Linked DNA regions of Yarrowia lipolytica. The protein of the gene in region 1 interacts with the protein of each later gene in a biochemical or structural test. Links are inferred from orthologs where the notes say so. Each region holds a gene or a part of one and is shown in the gene's direction. Other genes may lie near its edges.

Region 1 (7,592 bases):
CTGCCTCATTTGATACACTACAACTAATCCGATCAAGTCCGATTCAGTCCGATCCAGTCCGATCCACTTGAGACTCCAGCAAGATACAATATATAGATAATTGAATGATTCACCTAGCAGCATCTGTAGGGCAGTGAATGTCGAAGATGCTGTACAGTATGTACGGGAGTACTGAGTGCGAACGACAGGCCGAGTCAAATACACGAGAGTGAGTATTTCTGGGGAGATGAGGCCGAAGTAAGGAGGTGGAGGTGCGGAGGTGGAGGTGCGGAGGTGGAGAGAGCGGAGGTGGAAAGAGCGGAGGTGGAGAGAGCGGAGGTGGAGATGAAGAGCAGCAGTCTTTGTTGGGATCATGTCTACAAGTAGTGATTGTCGACTTACCCAGTCACCCACTATGAGGCCATCTGAGCCAGACTCTTTTTCAGGGACTCGTCAGAACGGCAGGCTGACCAATTCATGCCTCGAGGCAACGGCAGATTCCAATTTTCTGACAGAGCGGAATTGGATCCATTGGTTCAATCTCGGAGCGTTTCAAAACACAACTGGTGTGGCTAATATAAGTCATAGACCATACTCGCGCCGTGCCAACCTTTGTACAGCCCGAATGAGTCGTCTGAATGAACCGCCAGCCCCTCCAGACCTTCACATTGAGCCTGTTACTCTAAAGTTTGGCATTTCTAACACGGGAGAGATGCGAGTGGAGCAGACTTTGACTGCTATGATCTTCGTGGTGCTCTCAGGTCGTCGTGGAGTCTTTCTGGGAGGTTTCAATTCATTATTGAGTGATCTAACTTGTTCTGGAGCATTTGGCACTCCTTCTGGGTTGTTCAAAATGATGCAAGTCTCCTGAAGTCGTCATTGGACATTCTGCAGTTGTCTAGACCCGTTCTAGAGTCTCCGGGTGGCCCGGGACTGGCCCTGCTCTAACTCTACAAGTAGTAGTCACTCTGGTCTCTCACCGACTCTAAACGTGGTGAAAAACTTGAGGTGCACAATGGAGAGCTGGGACAGTCGCTGACAGAATAGAGCCTGAGTGGATCTTCCCTCAGCCAAAGTTCCGTGGAGTGCGGCGCCAGACCCTACTGCAAATAGGGCTCAGAGCAGCCATGTCTGATGACTCAGACCACATTATCCAAATGCCAGAGACGGCCCAAGATATCCCGACCCCAGTCTTTCAATTAACCCTTCTTATTCCACCCGTATTCGTGCGGCCGAATTTCCCTCCAACTGGCCACGATTTCCATTTCTTATGTGCGAGGGTTTTCTTCCATATTTTTATTATTATTATTATTATTTATTATTATTATTATTCTATATTTAAATATTACTTCAAATAAGTATTATCAATATTATTTTATTATTATTTTATTCCTTTTCCCATTTTTTCATTTTCTATTTTAATAAAAATTTTTATTTATTTATTTATTTAAAAAAATCACACCCGACGACACTACAATAAATATCACCGACAACCCAACAGTAAAAACATTTCACCATTAAATACAGGAAATTAAGCCATCCATTCTCTATCAACACATCATCTGCTCCATCTTTTATCCCTTTTTCAAGCAACAACACCTCCACACCGCCGTTCACCAGATTAACTCGTACCCAGTTCACCATTATGCACGTGGGTGGATACGACGCGCCGCACATGAGTAATGGGGCAATACGCCACGTAAGCGCAAAATAAGATTGCCTAGTTACCCGGGGGGCCGTTGCAGTGGAAATAAAAATTGAGTTTGACCACCAGGGCAGGGGCAGGACGATAGTTGCGTAGAGGGTAATAAGATAAGACCAATGTGGCTGGTCACGTGACCCAACTCGAGCGGAATAAAATTATCGGGCCAGGGGTCGTTAGGATAAGTGTTATGTATTACATAATCTTCACTATCCTACTCATTTCCCACAACCCTAACCCTCCCAGGCACACCCTGTTTTCCCCGTTCCCCCAACTCAAATAAGGTTTTTCCGAGCCCGAAGTCTAAAAAGCCTCAACCACCACCCCCCCCGACCGACCAATCCAAAACCTAGCCCTAACCCTAATTCTAACCCTACTCCACCTCCTCCCTGCCCTGCTGCATTCAAACATCACCACTTGTTTTGGGCGACTTTTTACGACATCCCAATTCTGCCCGAACCCTTTGTTGGTGCGAAAGTGATTGTTTTGACGGTAAATTGCTGCTAGCTGCCGCCTTAGCGCCACCCCCGATTTTTCCGGCTCTCGATTCGACCTCGTGACACAGACAGCGAACAACGGACATAAAAGCCTGCGACACAAACGGCGCAAGAGACACAAAAACACAAGGCATTTTTTCGGACGCCGAATTCAAACGACCGCCACAAACGAGACACACACACACGCACACACGTGATTTTCGAGTCTGGATATCGCTCGCCTCTGTCACGTGATTGGTTGATTTTGGTGATTTTTTGGCTGACCGATTTTCGACAATTTTTGGTTGACGACTTGTTACTACTTTTGACGACTTCGACAAGGGCTTACTTTTTGGCAAGGACATTTCTCGTTGACGATTGATATTGACGAGATTGTTGATTGTGATTGCTGACTACTATTACGGTATTGCTGACTACTCCGACTACTCATTACTCTGACCATGACCCAACTACAAAAACTACAAACGGCGTCGATCGACACCTGGCTGGCGGTGGGCTCGCTGGCAGAGCTGCTCAACGAGTCGGAACGCGCCATCAACGCCTACGAGGCAGCGCTCTCCTACAACCCCTGCTCCATTCCCGCTCTGACCGCCATCGCCAACCTGTACCGGTCGATGGAACACTTCCCCAAGGCGGTGGAGTACTACCAGAACATCATCTCGCTGAGCTCGGACTCGGGCGAGACCCACGGCTCGCTGGGCCACTGTTATCTGATGATGGACGACCTGCACAAGGCCTACTCCGCCTACCAGCAGGCCCTGTACCATCTGCGGGACCCCAAGGACCCCAAGCTGTGGTACGGCATCGGCATTCTGTACGACCGGTACGGCTCGCTGGAGTACGCCGAAGAGGCGTTTTCGCAGGTGATGGAAATGGACCCGCACTTTGAGAAGGCCAACGAAATCTACTTCCGGCTTGGCATCATCTACAAGCAGCAGGCCAAGTACTCGCAGAGCCTCGACTGCTTCCGGTACATTCTGCACAACCCGCCTCGACCGCTGACCGAAATCGACATTTGGTTCCAGATTGGCCATGTCCATGAGCAGCAGAAGGACTTCCAGTTGGCGCGAGAAGCTTACGACCGCGTGCTGGTGGAAAACCCCAACCACGCTAAGGTTCTACAGCAACTCGGCTGGCTCCACCACCAGCAATCGTCCACCTTTGCCAACCAGGATGTGGCTATCAACTATCTGCTCAAGTCGCTGGACGCAGATCCCCTGGAGGCCCAGTCGTGGTATCTACTGGGCCGGTGCTACATGGCGCAGCAAAAGTACAACAAGGCGTACGAGGCCTATCAACGGGCCGTTTACCGCGACGGGCGCAACCCCACCTTTTGGTGCTCCATTGGCGTGCTCTATTACCAGATCAACCAGTACCGCGACGCTCTGGACGCCTACTCCCGCGCCATCCGCCTCAATCCCTACATTTCCGAGGTTTGGTACGATCTCGGCACGCTCTACGAGAGCTGCAACAACCAAGTCAACGACGCCATCGACGCCTATCAGAAGGCCGCCGAGCTGGACCCCCACAATCCCCACATCCAAGAGCGGTTGTTGCAGTTGCGATCGGGCCAGGGCCACAATGGCGCCGCCCCCGCCGGTCCTCCTCGACCCCAGGACGTCAATCCCCAGAGCTACAGCCATCACGGTCCTCCTGGCTGGGACGATGCCGCTGGAGGAGCCGCTGGAGCCAACGCTGCTGCCGGAGGAGCTGCCGGAGGAGCTGCCGGAACTCCTCAGGCTCCTCCTGGACTTGGACCTCCAGGACTGGCTCCCGGCGGGCCTCCCGGCGGGCTTTCCAACGCCTCTGGTCTTGGATCTGGGGCTCCTCCTCCTCTGGCAGCCTCTTCTGCGCCGCTGCCTCCTCCTAACGGTCTTCCGGCTGCTCAGACTGCGCCCAACACCGCCCAGACCGCCGCTCCCACGCCTCCGCAACCCGCTGCCGCTCTCCCACAGCTCGCCGGAATCTCCGAGATCCAGCAGCGCGTCTTGCCACAGATTGACTACGCCGAAAACGGCCACGGTCACCAGGGAGGCGAGAAGCGACCCGGCGAATGGGAGGACGAGCGCCGTTTCAAGCGCGTGGATGTTAATGGCGCCGCCACGCCCGCCAGCGGCAATAACACCCCCAATCTTGCTCCGGGTGGCCAGGCTAATGCCGTTGAGCGTGATATCGGCTCTTCGGGCGCTGGTTCGGGTGTTCCTGGAGCTCCCGGTGCTCCCGGTGCGCCTCCGGCCGCTCCTCCGGCTGTTGCCAACGCCGCCAATGCCGCTGGAACCACGCCTCTGCCTCCGCCCCCACCCACGGTGCCGCCGCCCGCGCCCCAGCACGTGCCGACGACCCAAGAGCTGCCACCAGTGCAGGACACGCCGACTCCCGCAGCGGTTGAGCCCAAGAAGGAGGAGCCGGACGTGCCCGTTGCGGTGCCTATTTCCGCGCCTGTTTCTGCGCCCGTTGCGGCGCCCACTGCCGCCGCCGCTGCCGCCGTGCCTCCTGCCGCGCCTCCTAGTGCACTTGCGCAGGCTCAGGAGCCAGAGAAGCCCGACGTTCAATCTGACGTTAAGTCTGACGCGAACGAGGTTAGCGACGTGAAGCCGGTTCAACCAGTGACGGCTCCTGTTTCGGCCGCATCTACGCCCAGCATTGCTCCTGCTCCTGGCCCAGCCGTTGCGAGTAGTGGCAATAGCGCTGGTAGCACCGGAAGCAATGCTAACAATGCTAACGTTGCTAACAGTGGCGCCACTGCCAACAACGGTGCTCCCGGTTCTGGTTCTGCTCCTGGTTCTGGTGCCCCCGCTGCCCCCGCTGCCTCCGCTGCTCCAGCACCTGCTCCTGCTCCTACTCCTGCTCCCGCCCCCTCCTCTCCTCCGCCGGAAGCGCCCCTGCGAAAGGTGGTAGAGGAGGAGGACTACGACGATGACGACGACGAGCCTAAAAAGGAGGACGCCAAGGTCGAGACCGCTACTGAGTCCGCCGCTCCCGCTGCTGCTGCTGCTGCTGCTCCGGCTCCGTCTGCTGCTGCTGCTCCGGCTCCAGCTGAGTCCAAGGATGACGACAAGAAGAATGAGGCCAAGGAGGAAAAATCCGAGGACAAGTAACTGTATTAGTAATGTAGATTAAGTGTATGATAGTTAAGAGCGGACTCGATCCATCTTGGTATATTCTGATGTGCTTGTGCTGAATGGAAATGACATGTTGATGGCGTTATGTCAGAAGAGTGTCCTGTGTAGCCATGTTGTAGCCATACTTGTCAAACGGGTCAAGAGGGGTCAAGAGCGGCCTCTTTGGAGTAGATATGTGAGCAAACAACCAACTGGAACCATCATCTTGAACGTTTTATAAGTGTTGTATCGGTTACTTATCCTTCTGGCGGTGAATGGGTGTTTGGTTAACATCGGACTGAGTGGATCTTTATTTGGCTGAGTGTCCGTTTTTCAGTGTACACAAGCACCAGAGCTGAATGGGTATGATATGTTGATTACGTTACTATCCTGTACAAGTTCTTGTTGTCTTCCTTGATTCTCTCACACTTGTCTCTGAGTCGCTGAGATGTGAGTCGGAGTAGGCAATAGATGTAGCAAAGTGGGTGTGAACTTCAACATGTCTCTACATCTACATCTCTACATCTACACAGTACCCGTCTTACAAAACCTGTGACAGCAGGTCTCGGTCTGCTCTTGATCATACAAGAATCATATATCCATGTAGGAGGCGTCTCGTGAACATTTTTATACAAAAATTGTCAACAAGTGCGGTGTTGTTTCGTCGTCATTCATGAATTGTTTCGCACAAGACTTTGTCCTAATCGGAGGGATGGGTTCAGTGAAGCACTCCGTTTGTTCACGTTGTACTTTGGAATTCTCCTGTTCTGTGGAGTCTGATTCTGTTTGCACAAGTTTAGTTGAAGGAAAACACCACTGGAGTGCCAATTCGGGTTTCCAGAAATGGTAGATGGAAGACAAGTAGATCAAGTGGAGTGGAAAGGAGCCTGTTGGACAATTGAGTGACTAGAATGTGCCATTTCATATCATGATTTGAAGTAATCGAGGTTTTTCTCAGATTTGTAATGACACATTTACTTAGGTTTTAGTTGGACTGCAAGATCTCCTGACGATGAAATCTTGTCCAGTTAAAGAGTTGCTTCTGGAGCCCATTGAGCAAGTCCGTTAAGTCAGTCCATTCGTCCAGGTCTACGAGAAAGGTTCATCTAGTGCGACACTTCCGTTATCAAACACAGCAATATTTCTCCCCTTTTCTGACGATTTTCACCCAAAAAAGGGGAGAAATCATGAGGAAGCAGATACCGAGACCGAGTTCTCAACCAGACCGAGTTCCGACACAGACATGGAGCTCTCGATCAGTATTGACTGCCTAGATGTCATTCGGAAACTCATCTTGTTCAGCAGTCGGATTCACCGGTGATACCTGAAAGGACAGAGGAAGGACGACTCCGCGACTCCGTAAACACGTTTCGGTGACAACATGGTTTCAACTCGCCTGGAACGTCATGGGGGGGGAGGGTCCTGGTAGTGTCACGTGATTCAATTCATTTCCCTCATGTGAGGAATGGTTCCACTGAGTCATATTGCGGCTCAGGATTTTTCGCGGACTTTCCAAGACTTTGCCGACTTTCAGATCTGAAAAGTCGCTGGAAATCGCTGTGGATCTAGTGACTTGTAACCGCTTCTCAGCCCGTGGATATCGGAATAAGGGACCCTCGCGCATGTCCTTCTGGTCGTCAATTTTGGGCTCAAGAAATGACATCTCAAGAGAGCCGTCTATGCCATGACAAGTGCCTGGGGCAGCAGGTTGAAGACTGTTCCTTCATACGAAGAGCTCTCCATCTCCAAATGATAACTGTCGGAGTCAGTCAGTCACCGATCTGCAGTATCAACCTAGCTGTGAGTTGACACCGACGACAGTTGAACCAATTCAATCTGGTCATTTAGCAAAAGTCAAGTGGAACTGATGGAACCGAACTGATGGCTGTCTCCGACTTCACATCCAAATGTTACGAGATTCGAAATCTCGCAACTGTTGTCGTTCAATTTTTTAGAAAGTTGCAATGGTGTACCTTGCTGTTAGCTAACGGCAATATCCACCAACTTGTACGATCCTCAGAATTCACCTCCAAATAAGCCCCAGAGATGCGAGTTTGAAACTGTGCTTTCAAACCCTGATTAGCGACAACACTAAGCACCCAAATCTCAGATCATCACTGGCACTTTTACCAGCAAAACACCCAACAACTGTCACCAGAGCTATTGAAGAAGCGTCTGGGTTCGATTCCACTTCGAGAGTTATTTGTGTCCCTGATTTTGCTCAGCGTGTCCGAACGTGATCAGAACGTGATCAGAACGGGACCAGAACGGGACCAGAACGGGACCAGAATCGCCACCAGAATCGCCACCAGA
Region 2 (6,840 bases), on another chromosome or scaffold:
TGATCATCAACAAGACGGGAACTCTGGGTATTCTGGGCGCCCCGGGCCTGGGAGCCTTGTGTGCGTCTCAGTTTGCCATTGACGGCTTCTCCGAGACCCTGGCTCTGGAAAATGAAGGGTTCGCTAATGTGGTCATTTTGGAATCTTCAATGCTGCATGAACGGGGTCGAAATCCCGTGGCGGCGCTGGTGGACAGCGATATGGGAAGCCCGATAATTGCAAGCAGCCCGATGAGCCATCACTCGGCCTTGGTCGGAAGTCCGCTGAACAACCATTCTCCCACGAGCAACCAGACCCCCCTCAACCCCCAGCATTCGCCCGTCATGAACAACATGACGCCCGTGCACCATTCACAGACACCAATGAGTCAACGCAGCCCCATGAGTCAACATAGTCCTTTGACGCGTTCAGAAACGCCCCTAACGTCGCTGTTGCAACCCCCGTTGCCGGCAGTGGAAGAACGGCAGTTGCCAGCCGCATACGCGGACTCGGCAGCCATATACGGGCTTCTTATTGCCCAGCAGCTGCGCGAAAAACGACCCATTCCACCTCACGTGACGTATGTGCCCTGCACCAAGCCGCGTGTTGAAGACGAGCCTGTGGTTCCCAAGAAGCGCAAAGCGGAGGAACCGCCTCCGGCAGTGCCCAGAGATAGCACCGAGGTTTCTTTTGTTGATCTGGTGGCCGCGACCGTTTGGGAGGCTGCTCATTGTGCCAATCCTCCTCTTCGGTTGTGTTTGGGAAGACAGGCGGTCAAGCTACACAAGGAGAAGCTACGACTCAATGTGGAAGAGATTGAGGACTGGAAGTATCTGTATGGACATTGGGAAGATTGACGGCATTGGCGTCCTGTAAATAATATTTATATGGTGGAATTGGTGGTGTGATTGCCTTGTCCAGTATAGAGCAATCAGTGACAGTGGGGTATGGGGAGAGGACCTATTGACGGTGGTGTATGTGAGGAGCAATCAAATACGGTGGTGTGTGTTTCAGATCAGAAATAGCTGGTCATATATGAAACAACTGGAGTTGTGCTGCTAACAACAAACTCGTTAGTAAGCCTTCAACTTGAACAGATCTCGACATTGTAACATTCAAGTTGGACAGGACTGGGTATTGTAGCATTCAAAACGGGCAGAACACTTTTTCAACTGATGAATGAATTACAAGGACTTGTATTGTAAACAGTATACGACGGTTGACCCATAAATTCCCTCCCCGAATGAGTGGAACAGGTGATAACCGACGATAACAGACATTAGGGTCTATTATGGCATCGGGATTGTTTCTTTTGGTAGAAACACCTACAGAAACCTCATAAACAGTCCTCTACATGTAGTAATAGTCGAATATCGATCGTACTTGTAGAGCCCAGGAGTGGACTTGTATTGTCGTAACACTTGGTGTTAGGAACCAGACTCTGAGATAGAAACATTGGCACTTGTACTGACCTCTGACTATAGTGAGATCAGTACTTAGACTGATGGTTCCAATCATTTATGAGTTATTTATCTGGTCTGGGATCTCTTGTGAATATTAATCACGAACTCCAAACAAGCCTGATGTGCACTGCTATGGAACTAGAGTCCTTGGACAAGGTTGTAAGAGTTAACTAAATGTCAATTGGTATACTTAGGTTTCCTGTAGATTTAATATGTTTCAAGAATCATACTCACGGTAGTCAACAATTCAATAGACTCGTACTTGAGCCTGTAACAAAGATAAACAGTACCAGTAGAATGGACTCGGATTCGGGCTTTACAGAAGAACATATGACAACCCTTCTCCAATTGTGCTTCCCATAACCCTCTCATTTCCCTTCTAGACCGGATAAACATTATCTTTTTATGTTTTTATTTTTTATTTTTTTTTTATTATTATTTTTTTATTCTTTTTAGTAAGCACAGTTTGAAGGGCGTATTATATAATCAATGTATGTCCAAGAATAAAAAGAAAAATACAAACTTAGTCATCACATATAATGACCCTAGCGAGGTTTGAACCGCGGTTAGTTCGGAATCCCCCTTGATGACATCGGATCAATCAGAACGGCAGTTCAATCCGTCTTGTGCTGGGTTTTTCCCACCCATTTTATTGTCCCCGTTTTCCTCCACCATTTCCACCAATTACTAAATATCCCACGGGCGAACTATCAAAACTTCCTCCTAATCTCCGAAACCCCACCCAAACACCCCTGCTCAAACATAGCCACAATACCGCTCTTAGCGCGCTCCGTGCGCATCGACCCTCATCCCTCACCCCTATTCCACAGACTCACCCGTTCAAGTCTTGCCACAACAGTTCCAACATGTCCAACACTCCAGTTCCGCCAGCTTTCCGCATCACCACATGCGGGTTAGGGTATAAAAAGTGGCGTTTAGGGCTCTACAGGAGAGGCCAGACAATCTTGGACTCTTGGCCGCCATTGGCTGGGACATTATCTCCCACCTCTTTTAGGCGTTTATTTTAGACTCGGCGTATACAAGTACCTGGGAACTCTAATCCCACCCCTTACCCTAAACTGCCAGCGTGAGAAACATGACAACGTCATACAGTAGCCACTTCTAAACTTTAGAGTTTCGGAGCCTATTTCAAAAATCACTCTATTTAGACGGACAAAGCTTAAATAAGGTTGAGCGTCAGAGTGCCCCCTCTTGGGGTCCCCCCCACTTGTTTTTCGACGATGGTGAGAATAAGGTTGGGCCCTAACCCACGCCAACCCAACGGGGCATGACAGCCATCTTTTAGAATTACCCGACCTTGCACTACATCTTTGGAGCTTGTTTCTCACACAACACAGCACTACTCATTTTCAGCGCTGCAGGTGTATCATCGACAATTGGCAATTGTGCTTGAGCCATCAACGAGTTGTACAATAGGACCAGGTGAGTACGAGACCGGAGCGCGTCGACGCAGACGATGACGAGACGCACACAGATGCAGAATCCCCGACACCGGCGAACGGCCCCAAGCCGGCCTTCTTGTAATGTTTTTTGCTTCCCGTGACACGACAAGATACACGACATCAGAACGGAACACGAGACCCGAACATGACGACACAGAGATAATGCCACGTGGATGGATTGGCGATGGAGTTGGATGGTGGCGATGGAGTTGGATGATGGCGATGGAGGTCGGATGATGGCCGTCTGCGATGCATGATTGGTGATGATGGATGGTGGTGGTGGTGGTGGTGAAGGGTAATCGGTGATGATGGGTTCACAAGACCCAAAAGAGGGCATTCATCACGTCTTGGCGATTGGAACGCGTCATCGTCGGACAATGACGCTTGGAGTCCATCCTAACACGTGTCCGCAGTTGTGTTGTCCATCTTATCGCCATTTTTAATCGCCATCTTATCGCCATCTTATCGCCATCTTACCTCCGCCATCTTTAGCCATCTCTTTCTCTGCCCTTGCCTCTGCCCTTATCTCTGCCATCCATGAATCATCGAATCTGCATCACCCGTCAGCCTCTTGGGTCATAGGTCACACCAGACTCTACAATACTAACCCAGATGAGCTTCCCCCAACAAGTAATAGCGCCGGGCCAACGGCTCAACGAGCTTCTGGAGGCCATCAAACAGGAGTTCGACTCCGTGACCAACGAGGCGTCCGTCTACCGGCTGCACAAGGACGAGTTTGACGTCAAGGTGAACCAGCAGACGTCAGATCTGGGCCAGATTCGACAGTCGGTCTACGAGCTAGAAATGGCGCACCGAAAGATGAAGGAGCGCTACGAGGAGGAAATCATGCGGCTCAAGAGCGAGCTGGAGGCCCGAGGTGGACCCGCTGCGAACCCCGCACACTCCCAGCAGCAGCAACAGCAGCAACAGCAACAGCAGCAACAGCAGCAGCAGAACCAGCAGGCACAGGACCAACAAGCACGGGCCGCGCAACAACAGGCAGCCCAGCAGCAGGCCCTCGCCCAGCAGCAGGCCGCCCAGCAGCAGGCTCTGGCCCAACAGCAGGCCCAGGCTCAACAGCAGGCCCAGGCCCAGGCCCACCACATGGGTGGTGTGCCCCCTTCGCAAGGACAGCCCCCGTCGCTGCTGCGTCCATCATCCAACGTGTTCAGCGGCATCATGTCCGGTCAGCCCGGCACCTCTTCTCTGGCTCCCCCGCAGGGACAGCCCGGTCAGCCCCAGCCTGGTCAGCCCCAACCTGGTCAACCCCAGCCCTACTCCGGCTACGTGGGTGCTAACGGCTACACGTCTTCGCCACATAACGGACCCCCCGTCATCAGCGCAATGGCCTCGCCCAACAGCAAGAAGCGACAGGTGTCGACCCCCGTTCCCGGCAAGGCGTCTCCCCAGGTGGCCCCCCAAGAGATGCAACAGCAGCAGCAACAGCAGGGCCCTCCACAGCAGCAGCAACCTCCCCAGCAGCAGCAACAGAGCCCCGAAGAGATGGGCAACTACCTGGGCGACATGGACATTGAGCGGGTACCTCCGGAGCTCAAAAAACAAAAGGCCGACTGGTTTGTCGTTTACAACCAGCGAGCACCACGGCTGCTGGACGTGGATATTGTGCAGTCGCTGGACCACAACTCTGTAGTGTGCTGTGTGCGGTTCTCCGCTGACGGCAAGTACATTGCCACTGGCTGTAACCGATCTGCCCAGATTTTCGACGTGCAGACTGGCCAGCTCATCTGCCGGCTGCAGGACGACTCGGTCGACCGAGAAGGCGACCTGTACATCCGGTCCGTGTGTTTCTCGCCGGACGGTAAGTACCTGGCCACCGGCGCCGAGGACAAGCAGATCCGAGTGTGGGACATTAAATCTCAGAGCATACGGCACGTGTTCACTGGCCACGAGCAGGACATTTACTCGCTGGACTTTTCGCGAAACGGCCGACACATTGCCTCTGGCTCTGGCGACCGCACAGTCCGAATGTGGGATATTGAGAGCGGCCAGTGTACTCTAACCCTGTCGATCGAGGACGGCGTCACCACGGTGGCCATCTCGCCCGACGGCAAGTTTGTGGCTGCAGGCAGCTTGGACAAGTCTGTGCGAATCTGGGACACCTCTACCGGTTTCCTGGTTGAGCGTCTGGAGGCCCCTGATGGACACAAGGACTCCGTCTATAGTGTAGCTTTCACCCCCAACGGTATGGATCTTGTTTCCGGCTCGCTGGACAAGACGATCAAGCTGTGGGAGCTGCAGGCTCCTCGAGGCATTCAGGCCAACCAGCGAGGAGGCGTCTGCGTCAAGACGCTGTGTGGACACAAGGACTTTGTTCTGAGTGTGGCCAGCACGCTGGATGGGCAGTGGATTCTTTCCGGCTCCAAGGACCGGGGTGTGCAATTCTGGGACCCTCGAACGGGCCAGGTGCAACTCATGCTGCAGGGTCATCGAAATTCGGTCATCAGTGTGGCTCCTAGTCCCATGGGCGGGTTGTTTGCTACTGGAAGTGGAGATTGCAAGGCTCGAATCTGGCGATACTTTCCTGTCAACAGATAATCCTGGGCGGTCGCGAGGCCGGACGGGTGTCTGGCAGTTAACAAAGACATTAGATGTCTGGATGAAGCCTGCTCCGTTTGCACGCAATCTAGGGAAGACAGGGCTATGTAGTGTATAAAATTTTGTGGTATTATTATTAGACAAACATGGAGTTGTAGTGGTGGAGTATATGCGAGTGCAATACTGTATGTACTTGTTGACGATGGGGTATCAACGTGCTATGTATACTTGTACTCGTTCATGTTTACCCTCTTCAGACAGCTGGTGTTGACGTTTTGGTCATGTGAATGAAGATACCGGGTGGAGCCGAAAAGTGGAGCTGAAAATGTCCCCACTTTTCAACTCAGCTCGGTTTCTGCTCTCTTGGTTTTTGTCTGTGATTACTCTAACGCCAGCCTCTCTCTAATGTCCACTCATTCGCCACTTACCATGAATGGCTCTGGACCTTGTTTGCTCAATAGCTCCACGGCTCCCCGTGGTCCCCATGTTATTGATGCTCTCGGCACCTTTGTTGGCAACGGCTCACGGAGATCAGCAGCTCCACCCAGCCCGCTGGCCAATGCCACCACCATCAACGCGGCCAACGTCAACCCGTCCAACTCGGGCCTCAACCAGCCGCCGCAGGTCATGTCTCTCAACGAGCTGCTTGAAGTGCACAACGATCCGCAGCTCGACGCGCGACTGCCTCCCGAGAACCCCAACCGGCCCGTGATCCGCCACCAGCGCGAGATTCTGTACGGCAAGTGGAACATTGGCCCGTCACGGGCCGACAGACTGGCAGCCAAGATTCGCAACAAGTTTGGCCCCACGGCACGCAAACGACGCAAGGCCATCAGAGAAGACGAGAAGAAAAAGGCCCTTGAAGAACAGCCGCCAAAATACATGCTCACGGACTTCCACCATCAGCTGGTGCAGGAGATGCGAGTAGTGATTGAGAACCAGGAGGCGGTTTTGGAGCAGCTCACGAACCTGTTGTATCAAAAGGACGCCGAAATCGAGAAGATGCATTACGACATGATGTTGGTCTCCACTCCGCCAAATGGGACCCTCGCTAGTATTCGGGAGGAGCCCGTGAGGCGGTTTGGCGGAGGTTGTCGTGAGTAGTGTTTCAGTGGTGATAGGACCCTCGCCAGTGGTGGGAGGAGCCGTTCTCAAGAGGCATGGTCATACGTGTGGGTCCACCAAACCGCATTATCAGGGCGTATATGAGGCATCTGTGAACTAGATTGAGGTATGTTAGCTACAAGTAATGGACAAGTTGAGTGTTCATTCATCCAGAATGTTTCAAAGGCCTGTTACTTCTCTACAAGTACAGGAACAGATATGAGCACAATCACAAGCACGAAAGTGACCAGAATTCAAATCAATTCCATCATCTC
Region 3 (6,505 bases), on another chromosome or scaffold:
TTCTGGCGATCATTGTGGCGCCTGACCTACCTTTCGGCCATTGCTTCTCTGGGATACATTGGCTACCGAATCTACGTCATTCGAAACCCCTCCGACCAGTTGCCCGCCGACCCCTCCAAGAAGACCCTGGTGGTGCTGGGTTCCGGCTGGGGCTCCGTCTCCTTCCTCAAGAAGCTCGATACTTCTAACTACAACGTCATTGTCGTCTCTCCCCGAAACTACTTCCTGTTCACCCCTCTACTGCCCTCTTGTCCCACCGGAACCATTGAGCACCGATCCATTATGGAGCCCATCCGAGGCATCATTCGACACAAGCAGGCCGAATGCCAGTACCTCGAGGCTGATGCTACCAAGATTGACCACGAGAAGCGAATTGTGACCATCCGATCCGCCGTCTCTGAGAACTCCAAGGAGGAGGTCATCAAGGAGATCCCCTTCGACTATCTTGTTGTCGGTGTTGGCGCCATGTCCTCCACCTTTGGTATCCCCGGTGTCCAGGAGAACGCTTGCTTCCTCAAGGAGATCCCCGACGCCCAGCAGATTCGACGAACCCTCATGGATTGCATTGAGAAGGCCCAATTCGAGAAGGACCCTGAGGTCCGAAAGCGACTTCTGCACACTGTCGTTGTTGGAGGTGGCCCTACCGGTGTCGAGTTCGCTGCCGAGCTCCAGGACTTCTTCGAGGACGATCTCCGAAAGTGGATCCCCGATATCCGAGACGATTTCAAGGTTACTCTTGTCGAGGCTCTCCCCAACGTTCTGCCCTCTTTCTCCAAGAAGCTCATTGACTACACCGAGAAAACCTTCTCTGACGAGAAGATCTCCATTCTGACCAAGACCATGGTTAAGTCTGTTGACGAGAATGTGATCCGAGCCGAGCAGACCAAGGGTGACGGTACTAAGGAGACCCTTGAGATGCCTTACGGAACTCTTGTGTGGGCCACCGGTAACACTGTGCGACCTGTTGTTCGAGAGCTCATGTCCAAGATCCCTGCTCAGAAGGGCTCCCGACGAGGTCTTCTTGTCAACGAGTACCTTGTTGTTGAGGGTACCGAGGGCATCTGGGCTCTTGGTGACTGTTCTGCCACCAAGTACGCACCCACTGCCCAGGTTGCCTCCCAGGAGGGATCCTACCTTGCTAACCTGCTCAACGGCATTGCTAAGACCGAGGACCTCAACAACGAGATCACCAACCTCGAGAAGCAGTCGGAGCACACCTTTGACGAGCAGGAGCGAAAGAACATCTTTGCTCAACTCGAGTCCAAGTCCCGAAAGCTGCGACGATCCAGAGCCATGCTGCCCTTCGAGTACTCTCACCAGGGTTCTCTGGCCTACATTGGTTCCGACCGAGCCGTTGCCGACCTGTCCTTCAACTTCTGGGGTATCATGAACTGGTCTTCCGGAGGAACCATGACCTACTACTTCTGGCGATCCGCCTACGTGTCCATGTGCTTCTCCATGCGAAACAAGATTCTTGTTTGCATTGATTGGATGAAGGTCCGAGTCTTCGGCCGTGATATCTCTCGAGAATAAGCGCATAAACCTATACAATAAATTTTAGATTGACAGTACAACTGAGGGCTGTAATGAGTAAGAGTGGTATCACTTGGTTGTATTTGACGGAACAGTTGTATACAATTATAAAGAGTTGCAGCTTCTCCATCTGCAGTATTGCTGTAAGCATGTTTGTGGAAGGTTTCATACTGAACAGAATCCCTCGTATAAGTGAACCCCAAAGCCAATGTTTTAGAGGCATTGAGACATAAGACTGCATGTTTCTTTTTGCTCATTTCACTTCTATATTTCTTTTTTGTGTCTGCCACTTCTGTATAATTCATTTCAATCAACACAATAGAGTTCCATAAGGCGTGTGGTGCATATTGTCAACTGTGGATACCTGTTCGTACAATACGTGAACATACTAACACACACCACAAATGATCACGAAAAGGCTACTGCGGTTCCTGCTGGGGCCTAGTTTTGCCACCAATGAGAATACAGAAACAGAATCTCTTGCTCTCAACCACGAATTGCTCAACGCCAAACACAAGATTCTCAACAGCTATGGACGGTCTTCCCTGGAGGCCGAGAAGATTGTACCTCCTCCTACTTCAGCCGCTGATCTGGACGCTCTGCTTGATCCTGCCGAATCAAACGACTATGTCGACAAGTGGATGCGAGCCTGGGAACTCGGTATTATCCCTGAGGGGATTGTTAGAGGTATAGAGATGATGGGCATGTGGCCCCTGGAGGTATCTTGGGCTAGATACCACACAATTGGCAGATCCGGAGGACAAACATACTGGCAACTACTGAAGGGAACTATCCACAGCGGCAATCCGTTCCCCGGATTCATGGCTTCCCTGGCGCAGAGTATGGTGGAGGAAGCTATCTCAGACCAACCGGACGCAGGCTCGTATACGTGGGAGAACGGGACCATGGTCAAAAGCGAACACAAAATCAACATCATAAGCGTGCTCAAGGGCAACCACACAATGGCTGAAATCATCCCCTTTGCCCTGAAACACTTCACGGCCTGCATCATGTCATTCCCCTTCTTCTACTACTCCTCCATGCAGATTTTGGGGGTGTACAACAACGTCGACACCCCCAACAACTCGCCCTGGGGCCCGTCTATTGCCTGGCTGCAGAATTTCTACAACCCCTGGACTCCAGCTCTACCCAATGTCGGAGTCATGGCCGTCTGGCATGTATCCAACTACTTTCTTGGTCTGGTGGGTCGAACGCATCTGGCTGAAATCAACAAGTCTCACGGACAAATGGGACCCGAAGTGGCCCATCATATGCCTCCATTTGCGGTTTTATATGAGAACTTCCTTCGATCATCCTTCATCATGAGATGCATGACTTCCAATCTGTTTGGTTTCTTCTTTTTCCGGTTTGCTGTCGGCAAATCTTTTGGGGATGACCTGCAGATTGATTTCCCAGATCTCTGCGGCGCTATTGCTGTTGATACCGTGGTTAGATGTGGTATCAACCACTTGTACATTCTGTCCACCTGGATTATTGAGAGATCTGTTTACGGGGCTGACACAGAGGAGGAGGAGACGTAAATGTACATAGGTCTACATCGCTACATAGTTGCATTATTTATTTGGTATTCAAGAAAGAGAGACATTTTTTTCCCCTTTGAACTGGTGTGCTCGTTTGTTGCATTTGTACATCAGGAAACGCGTTTCCCTTCGTCATTCCACATTTTAAAACATCACACTCTTATCCTTAATGACCATCCTAAACGGTACATGTTGCTTAATAATCAAACCCTAATAACAAGAATATGCATGGCTGGACTCCCCGGCCAAATTCGTCCAGTACACATCTTTTACACCAGCAACAACCAAACACAATGTCCGCTCGACGCTCGAGACGCAATTTTGATGACGACACGGTGGAAGCGTCCAGTGACAGCGAAGGCAAAAAGCGCAAGTCACGGGCCGCCGACAAAGCAGCAGCCGTACCTGAAGAGGATGAGGAGGTCGAGGACTCGGATGGACTGGTGGAGTCCGAGGAGGTTACACGGTGCATTTGTGGCCACGAAGAGTTGCATCTGGACCGGGCTGCCAAGGCTCTGGAAATTGATCAGGGTCTGTTTATCCAGTGTGATTCTTGCTCTGTGTGGCAGCATGGCTACTGTGTGGGCATGTACCAGGAGTCTGAAGTTCCCGATGTCTATTACTGTGAGAAATGCCGACCCGACCTCCATCAGATTTTCCTACGGCCAAGCGGCCAGACGTCCATCTACAACAAGTCTGCCGACGACGATGAAGACGAAGAAAACGAGGATGGCAACGATGAAGGCAATGGTAGCCGGGCTTCGGTCAAAGAAGAAGAGCTCCTCCCGCCAAAGCGTCAGCGCAGCAGCCGAGCGTCTTCTTCGACAGCCTCAGACAGCGGCACTGGTGCAACACGCGAGTCTGCCCGCGACCCTCCCCGAAGCAATGGAGAGGAGCCTGCAGCTGCTAGTGGCCCCAGACAACAGTCCGGGTCCACCCCCGAGCAGGGAGGAAAGCGAGGTACGGGTAGAAGTCGACGTCCCGATTCTGCTGCTTCTGCCGCTGGCTCTGCTGATGATGGCTCTGAAGACATCTCTGACGCAACTGGCGAGGCAGGCCGTGACTCAACTCGCAGCAGACGCAATTCGAGCTCTCGTCGTGAGATAACCACCTCGTCGCGACGTCGCAACAGAGACACATATGAGGAGACTCTCAAGCGGGTGCTTCAGGAGAGCGCCCGCGAAGCAGGCAAGGACAAGGAGGTCAAAGAGGAAACCACAACGAGCAAGAACTCTACGACCAACAACAATAACGCCACAGCCAACAACAGCAGCAGTAGCAAAAAGTCATCGCCTGAGACTACTGGCACTGCTTCTGGAGCAGCAGCTGCAACAAATGGAACAACCAACGGGTCAGCAGCAGCCTCGGGAACGTCGGAAACGCCGAAGCGGAAACGCGAACAGGAACTCCAGGCAAAGTCGGATATGGACGGCAGCGACTCGATGGACTCGCCTGTGGCCAAGGCCCGGAAAAAGCGCAAGACAAAGACGTCGGTGGGTGCTGGAGGAGCAGCCAACTCGCCGAAGCCGAAGGAGACACCCGAATACAATGACGAGCGGCCATCCAAGCCACGGGTACCTCATTCACGAACTACAATGAGCGAGATGCGACGACGGGTAGCTGCGATACTGGAATTTATTGGCCGCACACAGATGGACATGGCCAGTGACCAGAACAAGATTGGAGATCAGGTGGTGCTTAGCTCCACCTCTGCAGATATGATGGATGGACTAACTCGCAAGCTGCTTCTGTGGGAACAGGAGTACGGTAGATATGGCGAGCGAAGGTGATTAACAGAATATACTTAATTTATTGTATCATTATTATTTAAAGGTATTTTGCCGTCGGAATAGCCGCTCCGCAAAAACCGTTGCACGTTGTGTGAGAGGAAACCTATTACAGGTAACAATTGGGGATGTGTCTCAATTTTGGGTATTGCGATAAGCTAATTGTAGCGGTTACTACCTGATCTACAATGTAGCTTAGTGTCGGTTATCGATCTCTATATTCGTATATTAGATGCCAAGAACAAGAAGAATAATGTATGAAGTAGACATGTCATTTCGCTTAGGTGGTGCTGTGAGCCTTTGCGGGGGCCACTACAAATAATAGGGAAGTTTTGTATGCGTCTGCCATGTGCATTGCTCCGCTACTATTCACTTCAACATTCGACGCGTTTCTACAGTCATGGATGTGAGAGTGGCTGGGTTTATATTACGAAAAGGCTCCAATATGTTGAAACATTTAGTACAAGTACCTGTAGCTTGTTTTCTACTTCTCCCCATTTCTCCATCCCTCCAAGAACACTCCACATCAAGCAATTAGCCGTTGGGAAAGCCGAAAGTACAAGTAAGGTAAGTTGACTTGAACTACAGGTACAGTATTAGCTGCCTCTAGGCTCTCTTATTTCTCCACCCAAACGCGCACACCATCGTTCATACCGACTTTGACAAACGTCATTGTTCTTACACATACACATACAACATTCACCTTCTGAATTACACACAATGGTCCATGCCGATTACTCTCGATTCTCGTCGGAATCAAAGTCCGAATTGTACGACACCATGGCCTCCAATGTGGAAGCTCTAGTTGATGGTCAGACCAATTGGGTGGCTAATCTTTCCAATGCCTCGTCGATCATCTGGCACGGTCTCAAATCGCTCCCCGAGCCATCCAGCGACATCAACTGGGCCGGCTTCTACGTGATTGATCCTAAGAAGTCTGAACAGCTGATTTTGGGACCTTTCCATGGTCAGGTTGCATGTCAGGAGATCCCTCTGGGCAAGGGAGTGTGTGGAGTTGCTGCCAAGGAGCAGAAGACCCAACTGGTCAAGAATGTGGAGGAGTTTCCCGGGCACATTGCATGCGACGGAGTCACCAAGAGCGAGATTGTAGTTCCCATTGTGTTGAACGGTAAGCTCTTCGGTGTCATTGATATTGACTGTGCCAGTCTAGAGGGATTCGACGAGGTGGACCAGCAGGGACTGGAGAAGATTGCCTTGATTCTGGCGAAGTCTTGTGAGTGGTAGCGACCATTCAGATAAGTTATAATGTGTAGAAATCAATACGATACAGTGTCTCGTTGTATACATACAGTGCAGTCTATCAATACATAAATAAGTCCTAAATACTGGCTGGCCCAACCAGAAAGCAGTCCTCCACAATCATCTCACCCAAACAAAGAAGAAACACAGGAAAATGAAGGCGAAGAGACCGAGCCAGACTCTCCAGCCAATACCGCTGTTGTCGGCCATGATCATCATTCGCTTGAAGGTGCCCTTGAGTTTCGTGGATGCATTTTCAAAAGTGTCCTCCAGGTTGTTGAGCAGGTGGCTGGAGTCCCGGATCTCCACTCCGATCTTGCTGGTCACGTCCTTCAGCAGCTGCACCTTAGCAGACAGACCCTCCATTTGCTCGTCGTTCTGGGA

What was found.
Region 2: the proteins of YALI1_B09894g (region 1) and YALI1_A14345g form a complex in vitro, tested with the Saccharomyces cerevisiae proteins (6 studies listed by BioGRID). The link is inferred for Yarrowia lipolytica from reciprocal best matches to the Saccharomyces cerevisiae genes CYC8 and TUP1.
Region 3: the proteins of YALI1_B09894g (region 1) and YALI1_F32512g form a complex in vitro, tested with the Saccharomyces cerevisiae proteins (3 studies listed by BioGRID). The link is inferred for Yarrowia lipolytica from reciprocal best matches to the Saccharomyces cerevisiae genes CYC8 and CTI6.

The regions. Positions count from the first base shown.
Region 1 is NC_090771.1:986,831-994,422, forward strand, and holds YALI1_B09894g (uncharacterized protein), read left to right. Parts: upstream 1-2,618; coding exon 2,619-5,276; downstream 5,277-7,592. Other genes in the region: YALI1_B09871g (uncharacterized protein), read left to right, coding at 353-850; YALI1_B09929g (uncharacterized protein), read right to left, coding at 5,907-6,095, 6,139-6,204; YALI1_B09931g (uncharacterized protein), read left to right, coding at 6,292-6,301, 6,350-6,600. UniProt on the Saccharomyces cerevisiae protein: Acts as a component of the CYC8-TUP1 corepressor complex which is involved in the repression of many genes in a wide variety of physiological processes including heme-regulated and catabolite repressed genes.
Region 2 is NC_090770.1:1,430,995-1,437,834, forward strand, and holds YALI1_A14345g (uncharacterized protein), read left to right. Parts: upstream 1-3,517; coding exon 3,518-5,461; downstream 5,462-6,840. Other genes in the region: YALI1_A14305g (uncharacterized protein), read left to right, coding at 1-836; YALI1_A14368g (uncharacterized protein), read left to right, coding at 5,867-6,565; YALI1_A14377g (uncharacterized protein), read left to right, coding at 6,695-6,840. UniProt on the Saccharomyces cerevisiae protein: Acts as a component of the CYC8-TUP1 corepressor complex which is involved in the repression of many genes in a wide variety of physiological processes including heme-regulated and catabolite repressed genes.
Region 3 is NC_090775.1:3,247,914-3,254,418, forward strand, and holds YALI1_F32512g (uncharacterized protein), read left to right. Parts: upstream 1-3,298; coding exon 3,299-4,864; downstream 4,865-6,505. Other genes in the region: YALI1_F32476g (uncharacterized protein), read left to right, coding at 1-1,533; YALI1_F32498g (uncharacterized protein), read left to right, coding at 1,938-3,074; YALI1_F32534g (uncharacterized protein), read left to right, coding at 5,582-6,106; YALI1_F32546g (uncharacterized protein), read right to left, coding at 6,242-6,505. UniProt on the Saccharomyces cerevisiae protein: Component of the RPD3C(L) histone deacetylase complex (HDAC). Responsible for the deacetylation of lysine residues on the N-terminal part of the core histones (H2A, H2B, H3 and H4).